Saccharomyces cerevisiae S288C: one gene and its partners. The protein of the gene in region 3 purifies or fractionates together with the protein of the main gene of each other region. This does not show direct contact. Each region holds a gene or a part of one and is shown on either strand. Other genes may lie near its edges.

Region 1 (3,178 bases), on a different chromosome or scaffold from region 3:
GATAATGAGTTCACTTACTGTCACCGCCTGGGAAGCTTCCTCTGGTCCCTGTGCGGAAATGCATCACCGCCTAGCGACTCCCGCCGCAATCAGTGCCGTGCCATCTAGCGACGCCGTACGGCCACTCTACACTGCCAGCGACGTCGCTATCGGTATTGGTTGCCGTTAAGTGAAAAAAAAACAAACATCGCTATCTCAACAGAGTTCCACTGGGAAACAATAGACGCACTTTTATGCACCCTGGTGCCTTCAAAAAAGAAGTTTGACTAAGAGGGCTGAGGCTTAAGCTTTTTAACCGTAGTAGTTCAACTATATAAGATAACGATTTCGAAAAATAGGAAAGATACAACCATTCTTTATCGTACCTATAAGGATGTGAGTCCTTCTTATCAGGGGGAGTTACGTAAAAATGATTCCCCACTTTTTGTCTTCTAGAAACAAACCAGCCCCGCTGTCAAGATAAGCTTAATTTTGAATTGCTTTTTTTTTTCTTATCTTAGGTAAATAGTATACAAGCACTTACATAATTGATAAGAGAGCTCATGAAAAATGGATACCAACCTGGTGAAAAGCATATAATAGCCTTAGGAAATCATTTTGATCACATTTACCCGCTCTTTTGTCGCCTAAGTCGGTCTCCTTCAGAACTGTGTCAATCTTTTCCTTGACGACATCGTGCATAGAACCCTTTGTATCATCCACCATTTCGTTGTTCATCGCCAAAAATGTCTTATAATTCTTCTCCAGAATGTCCATCACGGTGGTCGATTTGAAGCCAGCTGAAATCGTTCTGTTTTTCCTCACAAAGACGATTCTCAACAAACCATCCCATTCGTTGTAATCCACTTGCGGTCTTGGATTTTTAATCTCTAGTCTAACAACGCTGGATTCCACTTGTGGTGGCGGTCTGAAGTTATTCTTACCCACTTTCATGATGTGTGTAACATTAGCCCACATTTGTACATTGGCGGATAATCTACAGTATAATGAGTCACCTGGTCTTGCCAGTAATCTTAAAGCAAACTCTCTTTGAAACATAAGAATAGATACTCTTGGTGGTCTTGGTTGGTTAATTAATTTGAAAACCAGAGGCGATGAGATCTGGTAAGGAGTGTTACTAATACAGATATCAAAGTATGGTAATTCAGTCTTCATAAAATCTCCAAGCATGATTTCTAACTTTTTCTCCACAGGTGTGCCACGTACCCTCTTAGTTAATTCTGCAGCCATTCTGGGATCCATTTCTACTGCCACTACGTTTTTTGCTTGTTCGAGGATCCTTACAGTTAGGTTACCTGTACCAGGACCAACCTCCAAAACAACATCTGAGGGTCTAATCTGTGCCTTATCAACAATACCTTGCGCCACCAAAGGATTTTTCAAAATATGCTGACCTAGATCTGTGTTGAATTTAAATACTGAACTCAAATGTTTCTCGGCAGAGACTTGTTTGGACGAAGTTGCTCCGGAGTACTTCTTTTTCGCAGCCTTTCCCATGGTATAATTTTATTTTTATTTGTATCGATATAAAAGGTACGACGTCTAAAGCTTCTAACCGAATGAGTCCACTGTATAATGCACTGTTCCTAATTTATCGATCTTATGTTATAACCAAATATTTTCAATTTTCAGCTCATCGCGATTTTCAAAAATTTTTCTACCCTCTAACCCGGGTAATACACAAGGATGGATTTATTATTATTATTGATTCTTATTATTATTACTACTCTGTTAGTAATTTACACACGAGGTGAGGAATACGTGAATGAATTAAATTGGTATCGTTAATTAATTATTAGACGCTAACTGTGTACATTATTTACTCATCTTCATAGACGTGGAAGGACAGTTTTCTCACTACTTTTTTTTCACTGACGTCATCGGTAGAACGGGATATCTTTGTCTCTGGGTTCTGTCCTTGGTGTTTACTAGTGAAGAAAATAGATATCTTCGAATTTCTTGGCGGCGTTATAAAACTGGGTAGGCTGATTTTTTTATCACCCAGTGGCAACGTCAGTGGTATAGTCTCATCGGTGAGAGGATCCTGTATGTAACCTTTGAATTCGTCAACACTTAAGTCCTTCAATGCAATTCTTCCTCCTTCCCTTAAAAATGCTCTTTCATAAGGGCAAATTTTAGCGGGTGAAAGGTTTTCTTTTACTTGGGAAGGATTATTCTCATTGCTCACAGAATTGTTATTATTGTATATTTCATTATGTCTGTGGACAGCTATGTTTCTTTCTTCAGCCGTTTCCTCATACAGCATAAATTGTGCAGCTTTAGAAATTTGGATTGTCTTTATTGGACTTCGCCTTAGTGCATAGTCTGTGTCTATTTGTGACCTTCTCTTTGATGGTGAACGAAGTTCATTGCCTTTTACCACTGCTCGTGGTTTTTGGTTTATATTCTTGCTTGATAAAATGGTTCTCTTTTTTGATGGTGATATCATCTTTCAGTGTCTCTTACTTTATTTCTTCCAAAGGATCCTAATTCAGTAATGCTTAATATGTTCTCCTTTCTTTTTACTTTATATAGTATGATAACAAAAGCACAAAACTTCAGAAAGAAGACGCGTCAACGCGCTACGCGAAATATGCATCAACTTTCTGCTGAAGAGAAGGCAATCAGCGAAAAACAGAAGTTGTTATTGTGTATTGTCGTGGTACTTCGTCGTCCCATTTGATATATCCATTCTAGGTAATCATGTTGGTATATGCAAGTAGGTATATGTACGTATTTATGAATATGTGTATTTGGCCGGAAAAAGATCGCCTATAAAATTTGTGTATGAATAAATAAAGTGCAAAATATGTATTGTTCCCCCTCCATGTTAAACAACGGAATGTGACGATATCCCATCCTCAAATAGTTCAGCTTAAGGCAAACAGATGCAATCTGGGTCTCTTCAGAGATAACCATGAATTTTATAAATGTGAGGTCTGTATCTTTCAATGTGATAGAAACTTCAGCATCCCATATTGGGTTGAATCCATTCCCTTGAGAACTCTTAGTGGATGCTTCAGTGGCAGAAATCCTTGTACCCTTATCGATTGAGATGGGCATTGTCGGCTCGTCATCGGTATGAAACTCCACTTTAACAAAGGAATTGGTGTTATTTCTGCTTGGCGATGTATCATTCAATCTGGGCAATAACTGTGTAGATAAAATTCGAATTTTA
Region 2 (7,895 bases), on a different chromosome or scaffold from region 3:
GAAGCATGATATGTTTTGAAACAAGTGCTTTTAGGAAATTAAAAGCAAGGCCTTGTCTGCTTGGTTCATTTAAATCTGGTAAGACCCTCCCTAGAACATAACTCAAAGCAGTATCCTTTAATGTTGAATCTGTGTGACGTATAAAGGCAGAAAGAAACTTTAAACCCATTTGGCATAATTCGCTTGAAGTTGAAGGAGAAACCTTGATAATATTTAGTACCTTCCTCGCACAGTTTTTGAAGATTTCACTAGATTCATCGGAAAAATCTAGCCTAATTAATGTAATCAGGATACGTAAAGTACTAATTACCACACCTTCATTTTCCGAAAGTAACGAATCTCTCAAAAATGGAATAAAACCCTCTAGGTGCGAGACAGTTAAAAAGGAGCGGTGTCTCGTTATTACGTTCCTAAGTAAGTCTAAAGCAAATTTTTGTAAAGTGCTGTTCAAAAGCAAACTGTTTGAGTTGATGGTATAAGATTTCGACTCCAAATTTACCAAGAAAAAGTCTTCTTTTTCATCTACTTGGTCTTTCACTTTTTTCTTTGGTATTTGAGGGGAATTACTCATTTCTGATTCCTGGAAAAGCTGATGGCAGAACTTGAGGATACTTTCTGACTCAGAGTCACTATTATGATTTAAACCCAACAAATATCGTCTCAATAATTCACTCAGTTTGTTTTGATTTCTTAGATTAATTCTGACCATCAACAAAGCCTTCACAGGAGAGAGTAATGTTCCAAATTCTGTCAGGCTGATGTTTGAGGCGAGAATTTCACCAGCATCATAGCTTTTATTACTCTTAATTTCTTTCACTTTTGTATGATAATTCTCAGAGTCTTTTTCTTCACCAGCGAACCCAAAGATATTTTCCATTATAATCTTAACAATCATACTGGACGAGGTATCCAAATCGGAGTGTTTTAAGACTCCGTGCATACTCTTTAATATGTAGTGGACAGTGTAACTTAACACATGAATTTGAGAACCACGTTTTAATGTAGCCATTAATTCCTTTATCACAAAGACAAGATACTCAGCGCCCAAGATAATACTGATTTTACCCAAGGTTACTCTTACTGCATCTCTTAATTCTTCGGATTTACTTCTCAAAACTTGGCAAATATTTGTTAGAATACTAGGGAGGAAATTAGTAATATCATCATTTGTGAGCCCTAAAACAATATTAACTAATGCCTCCGCAATAGGCATTCTTTCAATTATAGTTTCGTCATCTCTAGTGCCAAGAATTTTCGAAAGAGTCGGATACAATTCTTGCTTAATAAAATTACTGGGTTCATCTAAGTTGGAAGGAAATTTGCTCAAAGTAAGTTTCGACTCAGCCCCATCTCTTACGATACGAAGAGTTTCTCTAAGTGGAACAGAAAGTTGAACAATTAATTGTACGGCTTGCTTCATTTGGTTAGGCTTGGTTTTCAACATAGAAATGTACCTTCTAAGAAGAGCTTTGTATTGATTCCAACTCATGTGCTGCGCCAACCCTCCGATGGCTATTTGGGTCTCATTTCCAATATTTCTGTATCTTTCATCATCCGAAAAGACATAATGTTCGATCATTGGAATTAAATAATGGGATATACTGTTATCTTTGAGTTGATGAGCATGTTCACCTAGTCTTTTAATGGCTCTCTGACGACGATGAAGCTGAATATGATTAACGTTTGTAAAAAAATCTGCTTCTTCATCACCATTGTACAGTAAAATGGCCATATCTTCGAAGTCGGTGAAATATTTCGTGTTTTTTACCATATATGATAGCACTGATACATACTCACTTTGTACCTCTTCTAGGGAGTCTCTGAGGCCAATCCTTATATTGGGTAAAAGTATATCCTTCAGCATAGAAATCGATTTTGAAGCTTCATTAAGATTAGGCTTTTCGTTAATGAAGTCAATAAACTTCATTATAGCGTGGGATGCGTTTGTTCTTAACGCAAGTTCTTCCTTATTATTGATAAAATGTAAAAAGGTGAACAACAGAGGTAACCACTCTAACTCACTGTAGGACTTATAACCATCTTCAATTAACCCCTTGAAAGTTGATAAAATTCTAGGAAAATCATATTCATGCATACGTGATGAGGAGTATGAATTCAAGTCCGCAACCAATTTCGAAATACTTTCTAATTCAGGAACTTTTCTACCGAGTTCTATGAAGAGCTCTGTCAAGGAAACCCTGAGGTTTCGCTCGTCAAATGTTTTGAACAAAGAAGATATGGTAGTGTATAGTTCTTCAATATCACTCCAAGAACAATTGTAGTTGAAAACTATCAGCTTTAATATTTTCAAAATTTTTTGGGTATCATTTTCCTGCAGTTTTTTTAGCTTTCCTTTTAATATTGATATTAATGAACTAATTAAACGACTTCTAACATGATCATCTTGAATAAATCCCATCTCAGTGATACTAACTAGCAAATTCAAAAATGTGGAAATCGAGTTTGAGTCAGAAAGTTTGACATATAGCGAAGGAAGTATTTTCAGACATGATGTGCAGATGAGAGTCACCAAATCTACGTAGTGATCATCATTTACTGGATTTCTAATAATTGAGTCCGCCGCTTCAATTATTGGGCCAATAACAGCTTCCTTAACGTGTTGGTTTGATATGGTGTCCATCAATGCAGTGGCAGTTGCAAATTCATCGTAATACAAAAACTGGTACAGAGATGGATTGTGTGCCCAATAAAGGAAAAGTCTTAGTAAAGAGGAGGGTTGTTGTAAGTTTTCATCCGAAAAATGTGAAATACGAGGCTTAACTACAACGGCGTAAATATCTTCCATAGAAGTAGACCAATCAAATGTATTTCCAACAAATTCAAAGACACTACTTAAACATTTTAGACCTTGTTGCCTTAAATTACTTGCCATCTTTCTTAAATGTACCTCCTCTGTGCTCTCAGTATCTAAGACATAGTATGCCATAGCAATTGAATAGATCAACGGCTGCAGCACTGAATTAGTATGCAAAGGAAAATTTGTTCTTAATACAGACAGAGTAGAATTTACAATGTTAACGAAACCAGTCATCCGTCTGATAGTTTTCAAGGTAGCCTTTGAGCTATTTATTTGATGGCTGTTCCCAAAAAAATAATTATAATCCAGCCTTTCACTAGCCAAACTCAAAAAATCATTAATATATGGCTTCTTAAAATTTGGCAAAACTGAAATGACAGCTATTTTGCGGCTTCTTTTCTGTCCACTAGTTGGGGGGACTTGTGCTCGACCGAAGAAAATTCTAAGGACATAAGGCATGACTACCTTTTCGTCCTCAGCCTTGATAGACTGCGACCCATTTTCGGTTAAAAAAGTCGTAATCTCGTCCTTGAATAAGGTGTCATCTAGTAGATTTTTCAAATTATCTCTATATTTATTCAACGTTGGATTTTTGTATGCAAGAAGTGCGTCCAACGCAAGCTTCTGAACGTCTGTATTACGGCTACCCAACAGTACCATCAGATGATCGTGCAATTCTGTTGCACTATAAACATTCTTTATATTTTTGAACTTGCTTAAAGTCTTTAAAAACACGTTTCTATCAACTTCTGTCCATGAACCAGTAATAACACGTTCATTTTCCATATCCTCTTCATCTTTGTAAGTCTTGAAGTCATTATAAACAAAAGGTGCGATGTCGACGAAGTGATTTTCAGCAACTTGAGGAATCGATAGCATAACTTTTAGAGCCTGATTTCTAATTAAAATTGGGTAGGTGGTGTTCCCCCTTCTTTCAATAGTAGTAGATATAATGCTCGTATTTTGAGTAGAATACTTTGACCAAATATGTGAGAACGTATCAATAGTGTCCCTTAACCTCACTACACTCGAATCCCACAGAACTTTGTTTGCACCATCTTCAAGAAGAGGCTGGTAGTAATCCAAATTTTGATTTTCATCAGGAAGTTTAATGAATGATAGCACAAGTTTCCAAACGAGGGCTTCATCTTTTGTGTAAACATTAGGAAGAGTGTCAAAAACACCAGTCCAAACTGGAGAGAATCTAACGGTAAGAAGGCCAAATAAGTATTTGAGAAAGAAAGAGGATACTAGCTTGTCTGTTTTGGTTTTTCCGAATTCGGCACCAACATTCTTGATTCTAATGGTTAAATCTCTGGCATTTTGTAGTGTAAGAGGTATTTCCTCGATAACCATACATGAAGAAAGGAGGTCAGGTACTTGCATACCCTGCAAAATCATTAATGTCTTCATTAATTCTAAAGTTTCATAACGAATCTTCCCATCAGGCAACATAAAATTATCTGTCAAGCTAAGGAGTAGACTTGGATAGTGTGACATTAGTCCTTTTAAGCTTTCTGAAGGATGAAGATTACTCACTAACTTGTTCCATCCTCTTAAAAAGTTTAAACTTTCTTTATAGTTTTCGTAATTATCCAGAATAGTCTTTAATAGATTATTCCCTGAAGCGTCGTCTTCTTTACGATATATTTTTAAGAGTGTACCGACCATATCTTTCGTAAAATTATCTGGTGATGCAAAAGTTGAAAAGATACGTTCAAGCAATGGGATAATAATTTCTGTATTCTGTAATTTCGAATATTTAAAAATTATAGCTCGCCAATATATTTCGAAAAGGTCATTCGAATCATTAATTTCTGCTGTGACAAAAAAATCTCTGATAGATAAAATAAATTCTTCTGGGAAATTTACTTCCCGTACTTTCTGCAGTTCAGGCTTATCATCTACTTCTAGAAAAAAAAGTGCAATTTTTTTTCCTTGTGATTGCCAATTTTTCTTTAAAAATAACTGTAGGAATTTTAATCCATTGAATGAAAATACTCTTTCATAGCTTAGCCTTAAAGCAAATTGAAAGAATTCAAGGAAACAGTCAGATATATTTGTTAAAGCGTAGTTAAAAAGTTTTTGGTGGAATAATGTTAAAGTTTTCACGTCACTGTTACGAATAAATAAAGCAAATAGGAAAGCCACTTTATCCTGTGAAAGCGAAGCACAATTTTCACTTTGACTCATTATTCTTTCAATTAGGATAGTAATTTTATTCCAATCAGGAATTTTTCTACCACTTTCCGAGAAGACAATTGTTGTCAATACTTTTAATATTCTATCGATATTGGTGGCATCGAGAGAATCGTTAAAATCCTGATACATAACTTCATAGACTGGAAGTAAACTTTCGATTGAGGCGTACTTACTAATGTTCATCCAAATATCTGAGAGCAATGAAACAGATCTTTCCGGGGATGATTTGGTCAAAGCTTCATGCAAAAGAACGCTCATGATAGCTTTAGCTTTCGAATGCAGAGTTTCTTGCGTTGACGTCATGGATTCTGTGAATAATATCAGAAGCCCTTCGTAGAGGTTAGTTTGCTCATCATCTCCCTCTAACTTTTCAAAAACTGATCTAACAAACTCGCGCAAGTTAGAAACAGGACACTTTCTTACTAAAAAAGATAATGCTTCTGCTGAAAATCTTGAAAGATATTCCTTAGAATGAGACAATAGTGGAATTAAAAGATCACATGTGAGTACCAGTTTTTTAACCAAAAATTTCGAGAGATACTTGAAAATATAAGCCAAACAGTTGAAACCCCACTCAAAAACATTAGATGACTCAAATTCTATAGCAGCGTCTAACAGATTTATTAAAGTTTTGATAGCTTCTTCATAAAATTTAAGAAAATCTGGACCTAAATCATGACAAAATTGAGCCAAGAGGTCCAGAAGCGGTTGCAAAGAAAACTCATCGTGAAAGTTAATGAATGAAACCAAAGAATTAAAAATCTTTTTATCATGATATAGTATTTGGGGTAATGTTTGAACATCATGCTCAATTTCCGCTGCAAACTCCGTAAATTTGGCACTTAAATTAATTTCTTTCCACTGATCAAAGGAAGCGAGAAAATGCGACGACTCGACATAATCATGTACCCTTTTTTCCAAATTTCTAGCCGGTTCAATCTTCAAATCGTCAATCCTAGCCTTGAAGGAAGAATATCTATATCGCTTAGACGATTTAGTAGTTTGTCTTTGTTTAGCCATACTTTCAATGAAATATGTGTAACTGATACTAGAAATATACCAATACGGCCAACAACGTAAAACTGGATGTAAACAGGAAAGAATATGATCTTTAATTTACAACCTACACTACCTGTTTAATCGGTGGTTTTTACGCTACCAAATTTAATAATGCAACTTTTCAATGCTCATCGGTAAAAATTTTCGGAAAGACATAAACTCAAAATTTTTTCTTTACAAAAGTCCGGGTGACATTACATACATACGCCTTCAAAACACTACCTTAGAAAATGAAGCGAGAGGTACATTTCATTAGCTTTAAATGAGCCAGGAAGAAATACACTGCAGCCGATATAACTCATATAGCATACTTTTAACGGGTGATAAGTCGTTACGAAGAAGGCCAAGTTCTATGCCAATCTTTTAATAAAACATAAACGTGATGCTTTTACCACGTATTCCATTGACTTTACGTACTCTTATTACTGTCCAAAAAATAACGACAACTGCAGGACTCGAACCTGCGCGGGCAAAGCCCAAAAGATTTCTAATCTTTCGCCTTAACCACTCGGCCAAGTTGCCTCGTTTTACATGATATCATAACTTACCAGAATAAATAAACCGTCATTATGAATTATCTATAAATATCAAACATGTATGAAACTGGGAATTCTGATAAATTTTGTCATAACTGTTGGGATTCCTGAGAAATGGGGGAATGTTGAGATAATTGTTGGGATTCCATTGTTGATAAAGGCTATAATATTAGGTATACAGAATATACTAGAAGTTCTCCTCAAGGATATAGGAATCCTCAAAATGGAATCTATATTTCTACATACTAATATTACGATTATTCCTCATTCCGTTTTATATGTTTCATTATCCTATTACATTATCAATCCTTGCACTTCAGCTTCCTCTAACTTCGATGACAGCTTCTCATAACTTATGTCATCATCTTAACACCGTATATGATAATATATTGATAATATAACTATTAGTTGATAGACGATAGTGGATTTTTATTCCAACATACCACCCATAATGTAATAGATCTAATGAATCCATTTGTTTGTTAATAGTTTGAATGTTTTTATCGGAAGAGGTTTGGTCATTACGTCTGCAATATTCTTTTTGGTTTCGATATAGCATACGTGCAGATGATTTCCTGATACTTCATCTCTCAGTCTCATTGCTTTAGTACCAAAAAATCTGTTTCTAAATTTCTCTTCATTATTGGATATAATTATACTGATTGTAGATTTACTGTCGGTTAGTAATCCTTTGGTAATTGGTTTCTTGTCGAGTTCTTGTATCAGGTAACTTAGATTATTTAATAATGGGACAGATTCACTTATTGCGTGTATTTCTGCTTCCGTGGTTGAAGTACATGTTAATGAAGCCTTGGTGGACTTTCCTCCAATTACTTTTCCATTAAGTAAATATATGTTGCCAATTTGTGATTTATAATACGGTTGGTTACCATACGAGGCATCGCTTATAACAACTAATTTATTTGTTGGCTTAACAGGTTTGCTTTTGTGCCATATTAATTGCTTATCTCTCGTATTCCATATGAACTGTATCAATTCATATGTCATATCTAACACTTGCTTGGACGGAAATAGTATATGTTGTGCAAGTGTGTTGATGTAGTATAATAGGTCAAATCTAAATTTATATCCAACATATGATGCTAGACCTATCAGCTTTTGCATTTCATGTACCTTCATTTTGTAATCATCTTCTTCTAGCTCTAGTTCTTGCTGGTCTATATATAGACCTGGTTGACCTGGAGCGCTAAGTTTCCTTCCTTTTGGGTTCAAAGGTACGTTTAGTTTGGGTATTTTTTCAGTTAATGAGTTTTCCATAC
Region 3 (3,402 bases):
TTTTCCAATTTCTGTTGCGGACGGTAGGTATCCTGGAACAAAAGTCATCAATTTGAACGCAACGGTTTTTGAATTTAATCCCTTTGAAATGGGATCCTGGGATCCCTCTTTGAACTCTTTTGCCAACGTTAAGTACCTTGGAACGAATGTCTCCAATGGTGTACCATTGGAAAGGGGAAAATGTACCGCAGGCTTTGATAATGCAGGTTTTATCATGGGTACTTCCTCCACCTTATTTAACCAGTTTCTTTTGAGAATAAACTCCACTCACTTACCTAGTTTCATCACAAGATTAGCAAGACATTTTCTAAAGGATTTATCTCAAGATTTTAATGATATCGCTGTTTACAGTCCTAATCCATTTAAAGACACGAAGTTTTTGGATAGTGACTATACGACAAGTATTGTTGATTCAGACAGCCTATTCTTAGTTGACGGCGGTGAAGACGACGAAAATGTTCCTGTGTTACCGCTTATACAAAAGGAACGTGATGTGGACATTATTTTTGCGGTAGATAATTCTGCCGATATGAGATTGGCTTGGCCTGACGGTTCTTCTTTAGTCCATACCTATGAGCGTCAATTCGTTAAGCAAGGTCAAGGTATGTCCTTCCCATATGTTCCAGATACGAATACATTCGTTAATTTGGGTTTGAACAAGAAACCAACCTTCTTCGGTTGCGATGCTAATAATTTGACCGATCTTCAATATATTCCACCTCTAGTTGTTTATCTGCCAAATGCAGAATACTCTTTCAATAGTAATCAGAGCGCGTTCAAGCTATCATATTCCGAATCCCAAAGAAGAAGTATGATTCAAAACGGGTTTGAAATTGCAACTAGGAACAACTTCACTGATGATCCTGAATTCATGGGCTGCGTCGGCTGCGCCATCATTAGACGTAAGCAACAAGCTTTGAATATTACTTTGCCTCCGGAATGTGAAACCTGTTTTAAAAATTATTGCTGGAATGGTACCCTGGATACTACCCCATTACCAGATGTTGAAAAGGATGTTCACCACTCCTTTATCAACGTCAATAGCTTCAACAGCTCCATAGGACAAGAAGAAAGTCTTTACGCCGGATCTTCAGCTTCCCAGTCATCGTCTTCATCATCGTCTTCATCTTCGTCTTCGGAAATTCCTTCGGCTACTGCAACCCTTGAGAAAAAGGCAGCTACTAATTCTGGATCACATTTATCTGGCATAAGTGTAAAGTTCTCTGCTATGATTATGCTTACTTTATTGATGTTTACCGGAGCAGTATAATATCTCTTGCGTAATAACGGTATACAAAATGAGGCAATAAAAATCAAAGAACTACACTATAAAATAACGAAACATAAAGCTGAAAGACTAGCAAAATCACTAAAAAACTAAAATAAAAAAAGAAAATGAGCATTTCCCCTTTGCATTGAAGTATCATCCCTTTCGGGCAAGACCATGTTTAAGGAACTTCACTAATGACATCGGAGGTCTATATATAGCAGACCTCTTCTTTAAAAGATATAACTTTATAATTATAACCCCGCGCAAAGCGTATTAATACTTTAAATGGGTAGTCAAGTTGCTTTTATTACTTGCACTTACTTTGAAGGAGGATGTCAGAATTACCCTCGCCATATTGGTAATGTAATTTTTCACGGACTCGAGATTGAAAAAATTTCAGAAAAATTTGCAAAAAAGTGCCGATGAGATGAGCCTTCATAAGCTACGTATGTTGTAAGGGTATAACATCTGTCAAGCTTCACCATTGTCAACACTTTTCCACTAGGATAATCCTCCAAAAGTATAGCAATGTCATCTTCCGCCCCCAAATACACCACTTTCCAAGGGTCACAAAATTTTAGGTTACGGATCGTCTTGGCAACATTATCAGGGAAACCAATAAAAATTGAAAAAATCCGTTCAGGCGACTTAAATCCCGGTCTGAAAGATTATGAAGTGTCTTTTCTAAGGCTGATCGAGTCGGTCACCAACGGGAGTGTAATTGAAATTTCTTATACCGGTACTACTGTGATTTATAGGCCCGGTATCATAGTTGGTGGTGCATCAACTCATATCTGCCCTAGTTCCAAACCGGTAGGTTATTTCGTCGAACCAATGCTATATTTGGCTCCATTTTCAAAAAAGAAATTTTCTATATTATTCAAAGGCATAACTGCATCTCACAACGATGCCGGTATTGAAGCTATCAAATGGGGACTCATGCCCGTTATGGAAAAATTTGGCGTTAGAGAGTGCGCCCTACATACTTTGAAAAGAGGTTCACCACCACTAGGAGGTGGCGAAGTGCATTTGGTTGTTGATTCTTTGATTGCGCAACCTATAACTATGCATGAAATAGATAGGCCCATAATTTCATCGATTACCGGTGTAGCATACTCTACCAGAGTAAGTCCGTCGCTTGTGAATAGAATGATCGATGGTGCTAAGAAGGTATTGAAAAATCTGCAATGCGAAGTTAACATAACGGCAGATGTCTGGAGAGGTGAAAATTCAGGGAAGAGTCCAGGCTGGGGTATTACTTTGGTTGCTCAGTCCAAGCAGAAAGGTTGGAGTTATTTTGCAGAAGATATCGGTGATGCAGGTTCTATACCTGAAGAACTTGGTGAAAAAGTTGCCTGTCAATTATTAGAAGAAATATCAAAGAGTGCAGCAGTTGGTAGAAACCAGCTTCCATTAGCAATTGTTTACATGGTCATCGGGAAAGAAGATATCGGCAGATTGAGAATTAATAAGGAACAGATAGACGAAAGATTCATAATCCTCTTGAGAGATATTAAGAAGATCTTTAATACTGAAGTCTTTTTAAAACCAGTTGACGAGGCGGATAATGAAGACATGATAGCTACTATCAAGGGTATTGGTTTCACAAACACAAGCAAAAAGATTGCATAGCATGTTCTAATATTATTCAATAGATATTAGACCACTGTATATAAGTTATATATATATATATGATTATTTAGGTGTAACTTCACGGACAACTGTCTAGAGTATAAGATTACTGGAGGATCATTGATGATTTCCTTTAACTCTTTTGGGTCATCTAAAATATCATCAAAGAGCGTATGCGAAAAGCGCGTTAAGAATAGATTACTTCATGACAAAATATAATTTTCCAGCTCAAAAATGTTTGTTTTTTTATGTAGACACTATTTTCAAACTATCTTTGTTAAATTACTCATCACCATCGTTGAAATCCAGATTAATCCAACTTGGCCATGCTAACTCCTTTCTTAAAAAATCTTTGAATATCGTAAACAAAAACTGTTCTAGTTCTCCAACACTTCTTAATACTGAGCCCTGTCCCTGATATTGTTCCCCTATTTCGGTTTCAATCTTCATACTTCTCACAATGGATATTCGCTCCAATGGCTTAGTAGCTGCCAGAATTG

The links. The genes of interacting proteins can lie anywhere in the genome.
Region 1: the proteins of RCL1 (region 3) and DIM1 purify together in Saccharomyces cerevisiae (affinity purification with mass spectrometry; 2 studies listed by BioGRID). This does not show direct contact.
Region 2: the proteins of RCL1 (region 3) and UTP20 purify together in Saccharomyces cerevisiae (affinity purification with mass spectrometry; 3 studies listed by BioGRID). This does not show direct contact.

What each region holds. Positions count from the first base shown.
Region 1 is NC_001148.4:37,440-40,617, reverse strand, and holds DIM1 (putative dimethyladenosine transferase), read right to left. Parts: upstream 1,498-3,178; coding exon 541-1,497; downstream 1-540. Other genes in the region: ACM1 (Acm1p), read right to left, coding at 1,820-2,449; PLC1 (phosphatidylinositol phospholipase C), read right to left, coding at 2,773-3,178. UniProt on the Saccharomyces cerevisiae protein: Specifically dimethylates two adjacent adenosines in the loop of a conserved hairpin near the 3'-end of 18S rRNA in the 40S particle.
Region 2 is NC_001134.8:225,781-233,675, reverse strand, and holds the start of UTP20 (Utp20p), read right to left. Parts: upstream 6,041-7,895; coding exon 1-6,040. UniProt on the Saccharomyces cerevisiae protein: Involved in nucleolar processing of pre-18S ribosomal RNA and ribosome assembly.
Region 3 is NC_001147.6:306,140-309,541, forward strand, and holds RCL1 (rRNA-processing endoribonuclease), read left to right. Parts: upstream 1-1,798; coding exon 1,799-2,902; downstream 2,903-3,402. Other genes in the region: PLB3 (lysophospholipase), read left to right, coding at 1-1,270; ERMES complex subunit MDM12, read right to left, coding at 3,185-3,402. UniProt on the Saccharomyces cerevisiae protein: Does not have cyclase activity. Plays a role in 40S-ribosomal-subunit biogenesis in the early pre-rRNA processing steps at sites A0, A1 and A2 that are required for proper maturation of the 18S RNA. RCL1 activates BMS1 by promoting GDP/GTP exchange.